Linked DNA regions of Danio rerio. The protein of the gene in region 3 binds, or shares a complex with, the protein of the main gene of each other region. Links are inferred from orthologs where the notes say so. Each region holds a gene or a part of one and is shown on either strand. Other genes may lie near its edges.

Region 1 (3,655 bases), on a different chromosome or scaffold from region 3:
TCAGTTTTCTATTGAAAATAAAATTACATTTCCTTTTTTATTGTATTTATTTACAGAAAAATTTATAAGAAATAAGCAAACAACTTAAGGGGCCCTATCATACACCCGGCGCGATAAGTCACAAGACGTGTTTGCCCCGACGTGTTGCTATTTTTAGACCAGCGCAACCTTAATTTTCCAGTTTTCTGCCGCATTGTTTAAAAAGCAAATCCATTTGCGCCACTTTGTGGACTCATGGGTGTTCCGCTCCAGAAAACAGGTGTGTTAAGGCACATTGTTTGGTGTTGTTTAATTTGAGAAACTAAAATAGACTGAGCATTAGACCAGCTGAAAGGTCTAAAGTCCAGCACAGAGCGAGTCAGGTGTCCACCTCGCTTACACATTGCTTAAAACCAAAGGAAGTACAACTATACACAAATATCTGTACAACTGAAAAAGAATTAAAGGATTAAAATATTACAAAAATTTGAATTTTCTACATAAACATATAAACCTTCATACCTTTATCTCGGGAGGCTTTTTTCAGTTTATTTACAACAACTTGCTTTTTAATAATGTTATAACTATTAGTAGTATTATTTATTATATGCGCATTATATTTGTTTTATTAAAAAGATTTGTCCATCTGTCGGGTTTTGGACCATATGGGGCATAGCACGTGTGTTAGTATATAATTCAGTTTTTTTGACCACACTTTGTTATTATTGTTCATTTATTTATAGCTTTAGACTTCGTGCCTAGATCGTTAAAATAGAACCCTACACTTCTATAACCTCACGCATGAAAATTCAAACAACATTTATGATGATGTCAAAAAGAAAAAGTTCTATAAATTGTCCATTCTTTGTTCATAAACTTGCTCAACATGTGATGCTTCATATTTGTTTATTTTTGAGTTGTGCATGTACATAAATAAAGGTGTTGTTTAAACCTGTATTGTTTATATCCAATAGGTCTTTAAAAAACTGCATTTTAAAAAAAAAAAAAATCAAAAATGGCTCTTTGCCGAAAAAAAGGTTCTCAACCCCTGCTATAGACTGACGATACTCCGGGGAGAGGCTCAGACCAGGCGTGAGTTTCTGCAGATTTTGTTTGATTCAAACACTTAGAAATACAAACTAAAGAGACCGTTCTTGTTTAATTTTATTGGCGATTCCTAATATGGAGTTTAATCGTAAGCGTATATCAATATGGCGAATGAAGCCCCACCTTCTAGTGCAGGTGCCAATTATTGATCGCTATAGACTGATGATTCCCCGGGGAAGGGGCTTAGGTCAGACATGAGTTTCTGCAGATTTTGTGTGATTCAAATGTTTAGAAATGAAACTAAAGTGACAGTAGTTGTTGTTTTATTTTATTGGTGACTCCTGATATGAAATTTAATCTTAAGTTTAGCAAGCAATTTTGAGCATACTGCCCGAGAGCCGTTTCAAAGATGGCACCAACAAAGTTGGTGGTTCATTCCGTTGTGGTGACCCCTAATTAATAAAGGAACTAAGCCAAAAAGAAAATGAACGAATAAATAAAATGCAGTGTATCTGATGCTTTAGATTATGCTATCTACATACATTTGTATATACTGTAGAAAGTAGGGCTGCAACCGTTCAAACTTCTCACAGTTCCGTAAATATAACAGTTTTGGTATGATATGTGCTGTTTAGAAAGAAAAATGGCTCCAAACAAATTTAAAAAACAAATTGAACACCTATTTATTGAATAACGGACATCTAACAACTCAACTTATAAAATATAAAAATACAAGCAGTTTTTGTCCTCCTGCAAAAAAATAAGTAAATAAAAAATTTAACATTTTAATCAAAGATCTGTATAGTTTTCAAAATTAACATAAATGACCCAGTGTAAGCTATTTTATTTTAACAATTATAGGCCAGGGTTTTGCAAGAAAACCAGCATTTGTTTTTTTTTTGTTTGTGAATTTACATTGAGTGACTGAAGGCAATGTACTGTGTTGTGGTCCCACTTGCACTTTCGTGGTTTCTCTCCTTCACACAGACACGATATAAATTCAAGAACTCAACACACTGAGATGTGAGGAAAGTTGACGTCAGCGGAGTGAGTGTGGTAGAGAGTTCCAGAGTTTGGGTGCAATAACACTAAATGATCTGCCCCCCATTGAAGAGAGGCGGTACCGAGGGACAGCGAGAAGGCCAGAGTCAGCGGAACGTAATGAACGAGTTGGGGTGTAGGGGACAAGTATGCTGCAGAGATAGGAGGGAGCTAGGCTATTTAGGGATCTAAATGCAAGGAGGAGAATTTTGAATTTAATGCGATAAGCAACTGGGAGCCAATGGAGGTCGTACAAAATTGGGGTTGTGTGAGCAGAACGTTTGGTATAAGTGGTATAAGGAAAATACGTACTGTTTCTCAATTCTAAAACTGTATTTGCACGCAATTGACAAATAATCACAGGAAAATTAAACTTTAGTAACAAGGCAGCAGTGGCCCGATCGGGCCAGTAACGATCCTGTCTACTGTCCCGAGCATCTCACACGCTGGCCCCGGGCCATCGGGCAGTCCTTATTGTTGAGCCCTGTAATCTAAAGTGTACAAGGCAGTATTGCTGCAGTTGTTTTTATCCCCAAACCAAAATAAAAAATGTATATTTTTAACTGTGGATCACAGGACACACCAAATCATAGGAGGATAACAGGACATTTCACATTTTACCGAGAACCCCAAATAGTGAAGGATTTAAAGATCGTTGTCATTTTAGTGGCGACACAATTATATGAACAAATAGAAATAGATCCGTTTTCACAATTATGCATCATGCATGAAATGACCAGGTGTAAACAGCCTCAATGAGACACACTCTGACATTACATTAAAAAACAAGGCTGAAGGAGATCTGATACTCACTGGTTGAGTAATAATTTGGTCAGCTCCATGTAATATGGATTTGGGATGGGAGTAAAAGTGTCTAATTTCCTCTCCTGTTCACGGATGTCTTCTAGTTTGTCTGAAAATGAAAAGATCAGCAGCGTTTAGAGCCTGCCTTCAGAATAGATGGTGTCCCAGCACAGACAGACTGAAACTCACCTGTGTCCATCCATTCTGGAGGAACTATCCTGCATTTCTGCCGTTGTTTAAGATTGAGGGCCAACCAGACAGGAACTTCAACAGGCAGACCTGGGTTGAACGGGCCTAAATCTCCCTGGAAAAATTAATCAATAAATCAGATACATACTCAAGTAGCTAGCTGTAAGTGACCAAAAAAGTATGGTCTAAACAAAACCTGTAATTCAGAGATGGCACAAAACATGCTATCTTAATCCCCTTTCCTTTATTTCAATTTAGTCCATTATTTATCATGGATCGCCACAGAGAAATGAATCCCCAACTATTCCAGCAAATGTTTTATGTAGCGGATGTCCTTCCAGCCACAACCCAGTACTAGAAAACAGCCATACACTCTCACATTCACACACACACTCATACACTACAGCCAACTTTGTTTAGCCAATTCACCTGTACCACATGTCTTTGGACTGTGTGGGAAATCGGAGCACCCAGAGAAAACTCCACACAAAAGGTGGGACTCAAACCAGTGACCTTTTTGCTGTGAGGCGACTGTGCAAACCCCTGAGCCACCGCCCAATAAGCCATATGAATAAAGAATTTAACATTAAGTATA
Region 2 (3,655 bases), on a different chromosome or scaffold from region 3:
GCATATTTGTTCACATATTTTTTACAGTCGTTGTTCGGGGGAAAAAAAAATGAATCACTGATTGAATCACCTGGGAGTCGTTAGGTAATCAGGTAAAAATAAACGCATATTATAAGACAATGAAGGTGTTTTTTGACCCTATATGCAGATCAGCCTGTTGTTGGAGACCCCCAAATCCACAACATGACCTTTTAATGCATAATAGGGGCTATTTCAATACAGAAGTGTTTCTCACCGGCCTTCATCATGTCGACGCTCTGCAGGTTTGGTGGCATATGTTTCAAAGCCACGGCTCGCAGGTAAACCTCTGTGTTCGCCAGATACCTGAACACACACACACACACATTGAGTTTTCATGTTTATTGGGGACTTCACCATAGATGTAATGATGTTTCTATTGTATTTACTCTTCCCCAACCCCACCCTCACTGGAAACAATCTGCAAATTTACATCTTACAAAATACTTCATTCTGTCTGATTTATGGGCCACTTTTCCTCAAGGGAACCAAAATAATGTCCCCACAATGTCAAAATGTACTGGAATTGCTGTATTTTATTGTCCCCATAATGTAATGGATATCAGGTACACACTCATTCACACACGCACAGAGACAGACAGACAAACACACACATACACACAAAGACAGACAAACACATATACACACATACACACACACAGACATTTACACACACACTCACACAAAGACACACACACAGATAGACACAAACACACACACAAAGACAAACACACATAGTCACAAACAAAAAACACACAGACACACACATACATAGACAGACGTGCACACACACATACACGCTAACAAACACCCACACATACCAGACACACACACACACACACAGACAAACAGACAGACACACACACACAGACAGACAAACACACAGACACAAACACACATAGACACAAACAAAACACACAGACACACACATACATAGACAGACGTGCACACACACACACACACACACACACATACACGCTAACAGACACACACACACATACATACCAGACACACATACACACAGACACACAGACAAACAGACACAAACACAGACACAAACAAAAAACACACAGACACACACACACATACAGACAGACGTGCACACACTAACAAACACAAACACACACACATACATACCCGACACACACAAATACATACATACATAGACATGTACACACACACACACACACACAAAATTGCAAAAAGACACACACACACAGACACACACACTAACACAAACACACACATACATACCCGACACACACACACACACACATACATACATACATACATACATACATACATACATACATACATAGATATGTACACACACAAACAAAAATGCACAAAGACACACACACACAGACAGACACACACACACAAAAACAGACACACACAGACACAAACAAACACCCACACACACAAAGACAAACACACACACACACACACACACACACAGACACACGCAAAGACAAACACAGACACAAACAGATGCAGACACACACATACATAGACAGACGTGCACACACACAAACAAACAGACACACACACACACACACACACACACACACACACACACACACTTAAATTCTCTCTCTCTCTGTCCTCAATCGCCCTCATCATTCGGTCCAGAAGCGTCTCTCTGACAGACATGAACAGATCCTCAGTGCGACAGTCGCAGATTGCGCTGAACTCACTCTTTAGCGAAGGCGAACTCTTCAGGAGACAGGAACGAGGGGTCTCCATCAGCACGGGACTTCTCCTTCTCCAGAACATGAGGGAAAAACTTCTCGATCTGCAGACGAGAAAACCAGACGTGGACACAACATCAGCCTACAGAACAGATCTGGTGTGAGTCCCGACTGGCGTTTCAGTGTGGAGTTCGCATGCTCTCCCCGTGTTGGCGTGGGTTTCCTCCGGGTGTTTCCCCCACAGTCCCAAACACATGCGCTATAGCGTACTGCCAGTCTTTCTGAATAAATTACGCTCGATTTACCTTCTTGAGTCGGGAGCGCAGGAAGCTGCTGAGAACGAAGCGGATGCGGTCGATCTCCATGCGGTGAACACTGGCCTTCAGGTCTCCTTTCCTCACACGCTGCAGGTTTTCCTCCTAAATCACACCACAAGTCATGATCGATACTGAAACGGTCAATCTGACTCGTCTACAGGCTAACATCCGTCACGCAAAGTTTAATCAGACTGAGAAACACTGCAGACAGACTCATACCATGTGTGTGAGCTGCTCCATCACACACTCCACCAGCTCAGACTTGTTCTCCAACAGTTCTGGAGAAAACTTCTCATTGAGCCAAGCCTGAAACACAAGAGACGCTCATTAGGAGACACTGTTCATCTACTCTGTGATGATGCTCACATTAAAACTGCCTCAAACTAAGCATTAACGAGTACTTTGAGCAAAGGCTCCTGGGGTCTGTTCTTCGTACGTGGATTACTCAGTTAGCTGGATTTGGATATTGATGATTTGACACGATCCAGGATCGTTTCGTTCTTCAAAGCTGATCCGAGAGTTGTTGTCATAGCAACAGTTCTGCTAGGTCAAACCTGGTCGGGAGCAGGTTCAATTCATATAAACAGGATTAGATCGGCTCAGTTCAAGCAAATATAATACAGAAAGTATGTTCTGAATTCTGATATTTTCTTACAGTAGTAGTTATATACACTTGGGAAAATGGTACATATTTTTAACTATATATATATATATATATATATGTATAAAGTTATAGTCATTAATAAAATAAATAAAGTTATACATATTAATAAAACTTATGCAATCTGCACCCTCGAAATGAAAGTACAAAGACTGCCACCTGGTAGTGCGAAGAGAAAACTTATTGATATGAACTTTTTAGATCGCTTTAGTACAAATTGTGTATAATAGAAATGCAGAATATGTTACTTTTTTTAAAGCAATAATACATTTATGCAGTCATAAACATGTTTTAATAGTTAATATGCCATGGATTTGATGCTTCACAAAAGTTGCAGACACCTTTACCAATATCAAAATGCTTTTGTAAACAACCAGTTATTCTTTACACCGATTAAAAAAACAACTACTATAATAAAGAAAATCTTTTCTAAATGTAGAACTAAATACATTGATTTGCATTGAAATACATGATGAAGTGTAAAGCCTGCAGCTCACAACAAATGTGGAAGGTTATTGCGTGTCATATTTAACAAGCCGTTTACTGCTAATTTGATGTAATTTTGCTCACATGGATAATTGAATATTAATCAGATGATGTCATTACGCTGCTGTGCCGTCAGCCAATCGTTGCATTGCTGATCATGATTTCGAGGATGGATAGATCTTTCCTTTACAACACACGCAGCGATCTCAGATCAGTTTATCCAGACATTCTAATCTGATTTGCGAACTTGTTTGAAGAACCAAATTAGCGAGAGATCAGTTATCAAGATTAAAAGATCCAGGATCTGCCAAATCATCTTAGATCATTTAAGCGAGGTAAGAAGAACGGACCCCTGCACTCCGGGACGATTTTGGTTTGCGTTTACAGCAGTGGCGCAGTAGGTAGTGCTGTCGCCTCACAGCAAGAAGGTCGCTGGGTCGAGCCTCGGCTCAGTTGGCGTTTCTGTGTGGAGTTTGCATGTT
Region 3 (3,755 bases):
TGACTGCTTAGTTCCTTTATTAATCCAGGGTCGCCACAGCAGAGTGAACCGCCAACTTATCCAGCAAGTTTTTACGCAGCGGATGCCCTTCCAGCCGCAACCCATCTCTGGAAAACATACTGTGCTGTGTAGAATAAAAAATAAATTGAGCTAGGTACTGAGAAAATATAGCTACTATTTAAAGTAAACTTTAAATTTTTAAATAAACTGTGTGTAATCTGCCTTTTTTTAAGCATGTGTTACAACTAACCCTGTCTGTTACAACTTGAAGTGAGGTAAATAGTAACATTTTTACTCCTGGCACTTTTGGCAACACTGCAAAGAAACAATAGTCCGGCGATTATACAACCAGAGCTCATTTGTAGGAGAGGCTTGTGTTTTGTTGGTAAAAAAACAAATGGTTTGTTTAACCCCAAACCTTTGTTTATTATTTGACCAAAGCCAAAAAGTGTTACTTTGTGCCCCGCTCCCTTACTTAACTGATTAGTATGTAAAATATTGGATTCAGACATTAGATATATTACCAGATAAGAGCTGAACAAGCAGTTTTTCTCCAGCTTGAGGAACTACATATAGAGAGGGGCGTAATCGTTCAGGTCTAACCAATGAAACACGCCTTCACAGCGCGCACTCAAATCCTATTTGCTGAATGGTAAAGTCAGTCACCGAAGAGGAACGCCTTCAGACACTTCAGGAGTTTGTTTGCAGAGAACCGAGCAAAGGAAGATTCGTCCAAAACGTGAATGAATATTTTATAAAACCATATGAGCCGTAGCCTGAGGCTTCGTCCTGGAATGTCGTAACAAACGAAAATGAACTAATTTATGTGCGTATTATGCAACTACAGTATGTGTGAGTGTCAACAGTATCAAGCAGCTCGGAGTAAAATAACTGAAGAGCACTGTAAGAGCTTCAAATACAGTATAAAAGAATGGAATAATTCAAAGGGGGTCTAGCGCATTCATTGTCCTTTTGACTCGAGCATTTTAAGAAGCGTTCAGGAGAATCTATTTTGCTAATAGGGTCCAGCTACCATTACACAAATAAAACATGGTTACTTGTAAAAAAAAAAAACAAACAAACATGATAATTACGAATTATTCATGATTTTGCTACACTAACCACAGTTTAACCATTGTATTTACAGTAAAAACGTGATATAGGCTACACATGGTTATCTGTTATATTTTTTACCATAATGAAAGCATGGTTCGAAATAGGGGTAGCTCTATTCAAATCAGTTGGATAATCACATGCTCAAGTTAATGAGCCTAATTAACATAATTGATTGTCAGGCCTGTTGCACCAGCTTGGTTTGGTTGCTTCATGTTTGTGCATTTGATTTTTGTTGAACTGTGAATGTTATTTTAAAATATTGTAATGCACATGCTGATGCGCGTGTAGGAGAAATGGATACTGGGTTAGAGGACCTCGAGCTGAGAGAGTCACAGAGGGAATATCTGGACTTTCTGGATGATGATGTGAATAATTTGAATAATCTTTATGTGTTTGACTTGTGGGCATTTTGAACTGTATAAACTTTGTTTTTTGTCTGTCAAACTAAATCTTTTTTTATTGTAATTTACAGCAAGATCAGGGCATCTACCATGAAAAGGTCAGGAGTATGGTGTCTGATGGACAGTGTCGTCTCATTGTCAACATTAATGATCTGAGAAGAAAAAGTGAAAAAAGAGCTAAAGAGTAAGTGATTAATTTGATTAAAAGTTGTCTATTTTGTTTCATATTTTGCTTTTTTGACAATTTTAGATTTTTTCTTTAACGTTGTTTGCTCTTCGGGATTTGGTCAGTAACAAACATGTGGCCAGATACATGTGAAACTCTGGTGTAAACAGCATGGTTGATGTACTATATGTTGCTCTGCTGTCTAAAATATACAAAAAAAAAAAAAAAAAACATGGAAGCTGCTAAATCACTTACTAAAGCAGAATATGGTGTAGCATTTTGATTTAACATGTGGTAAAGGATACATTTGACCAGATTAGCCTAATGTTACACTCGCTTGAGCATAAATTATAAGAACAAACATGAACGTTATCAAGATTCTTGCCATGGAAATCGTGAATTAGTTTGGTCAACCACAAACACTTTTTGTTCTTCAGACAGCTTTTTTTTCTCTCTTCTGCTTGACTTTACATGGCTTTCAGTATTCTAATACAATCTAATAGCAAAGCCCAAAACAATTGATCATTTTCAGCAGTAGTAAGCAAATAATATGATTCTCAGTCAGTTCAGTCACATTGTTTACGTTCTGTGTTTCCAATATGGCTGACTGATGATGTGTGATGAAAATTCTCTGTAGAGGAGAGTGGGGACAGTTGCAACACTTTTTGCAATTCTTTCAGTTTCTCGAAGACAATTTTATTTTTTTTTTGTGGAACCCCAAAATTTTAAAACAATAAACTCACTTCTGTTGGACAGGCACCCATATTGCTATAATATGTGTAGATATGTTAATAAATTCTTCATTTATTACTTAAAGAAAGGGACAATTGCAACATTCATTCAAATTATAATTTAAAAAAAATCTAAAACCTCGAGTTGGATTTTATTTTTTGGTAAACCCACTAAATGAAAATTGGTTAAATTATTAAATGTGTTGGCCATATAAATACAAAACCTTAAAAAAAAAAAAAAAAAAAAACGAGCAACATCCAATTATAAGGCCTAAAAAAACTGAACTTTTTTTTTTTTTTTTTTTTTTACTGAAAGATTGAACCTTTACCAAACTACTACTAAGAATGTTGACATGAATTAATTAATCAAATATTTTTTTCAAATTATATTAAAACTGTGATCAATAAAATTGTACATTTGTTAATATGGCAAGCTTTCAAATGAATTTTATAACAATTGGGGACAGTTACAGAAGCATGTTCAGCAACTCTGTCAACCTTGATTAAACATTCCATGCTAGAGAGATACAATAGCTTGTTACAAACGCTTGATAGCTATACCTATTTAAAGCTATGAAAACAGTGATTTAAATTATACAAATGAATAATGTTTCACAAAAACAGATTGGGCTGTATGAGAAATTTTCTGATCATTACAAAAAACTATTTTTTTTTTTTTTTTTTTTTTTTAAATACCTAAAATGAGTTTTAGACTGAAGAAATGGTCACATATGGCTGATTTCTCTTGGATGGAAGAAGGATCCAACTGACAATATGTAGTATGAATATCATCCCTCCATAGCTCATTCCTTAATGGAGAAATAAGTCTTGTTGTAACTGCCCCATGTTGCCCCCATTCTCCCATACACTGTAAAAAATGCTGGATTTCACACAATCAATTTGTGTTAAAACATCTCGAAGAAAATAAGTTAACCTATTAGTTTTTACAAATGGATATTGATTTAACATAAAACTGTTAGGTTTCCCCCAAAAAAGCTTGAATTGTGTTGTTTCAGCTTATTTTAAATAAGTAGTGGAAGCGGCAAATGTAATTTTGAGTGTATATCCTTGAATCTTTATTGATCTGATTAAGTGTCTCTTTTTAATAGATTACTGAAGAATGCTTTCGCTGAGCTGGTGGCGTTTCAGAAAGCCCTGAAGGATCTCGTGGCTTCAATAGATGCCACTTATGCTAAGCAGTTTGAGGAGTTTCATGTTGGTTTCGAGGGCAGTTTTGGGAACAAACATGTGTCTCCTCGTACTCTGAGTGCTCGCTTTCTGGGAAACCTTGTGTGTGTGGAAGGCATCGTGACCAAGTGTGAGTAAGATTTACTTTACTTA

What was found. The genes of interacting proteins can lie anywhere in the genome.
Region 1: mcm3l (region 3) and gins2 share a complex: the UniProt entries of both Homo sapiens proteins name them as parts of the CMG helicase complex. The link is inferred for Danio rerio from reciprocal best matches to the Homo sapiens genes MCM3 and GINS2.
Region 2: mcm3l (region 3) and gins4 share a complex: the UniProt entries of both Homo sapiens proteins name them as parts of the CMG helicase complex. The link is inferred for Danio rerio from reciprocal best matches to the Homo sapiens genes MCM3 and GINS4.

What each region holds. Positions count from the first base shown.
Region 1 is NC_133193.1:32,044,754-32,048,408, forward strand, and holds part of gins2 (DNA replication complex GINS protein PSF2), read right to left. Parts: intron 3,176-3,655; coding exon 3,061-3,175; intron 2,981-3,060; coding exon 2,881-2,980; intron 1-2,880. UniProt on the Homo sapiens protein: Required for correct functioning of the GINS complex, a complex that plays an essential role in the initiation of DNA replication, and progression of DNA replication forks.
Region 2 is NC_133183.1:62,250,904-62,254,558, reverse strand, and holds part of gins4 (DNA replication complex GINS protein SLD5), read right to left. Parts: intron 2,333-3,655; coding exon 2,246-2,332; intron 2,129-2,245; coding exon 2,015-2,128; intron 1,814-2,014; coding exon 1,716-1,813; intron 325-1,715; coding exon 236-324; intron 1-235. UniProt on the Homo sapiens protein: Required for correct functioning of the GINS complex, a complex that plays an essential role in the initiation of DNA replication, and progression of DNA replication forks.
Region 3 is NC_133195.1:6,685,537-6,689,291, reverse strand, and holds the start of mcm3l (MCM3 minichromosome maintenance deficient 3 (S. cerevisiae), like), read left to right. Parts: upstream 1-1,290; 5' UTR 1,291-1,409; coding exon 1,410-1,481; intron 1,482-1,588; coding exon 1,589-1,701; intron 1,702-3,523; coding exon 3,524-3,732; intron 3,733-3,755. UniProt on the Homo sapiens protein: Acts as a component of the MCM2-7 complex (MCM complex) which is the replicative helicase essential for 'once per cell cycle' DNA replication initiation and elongation in eukaryotic cells.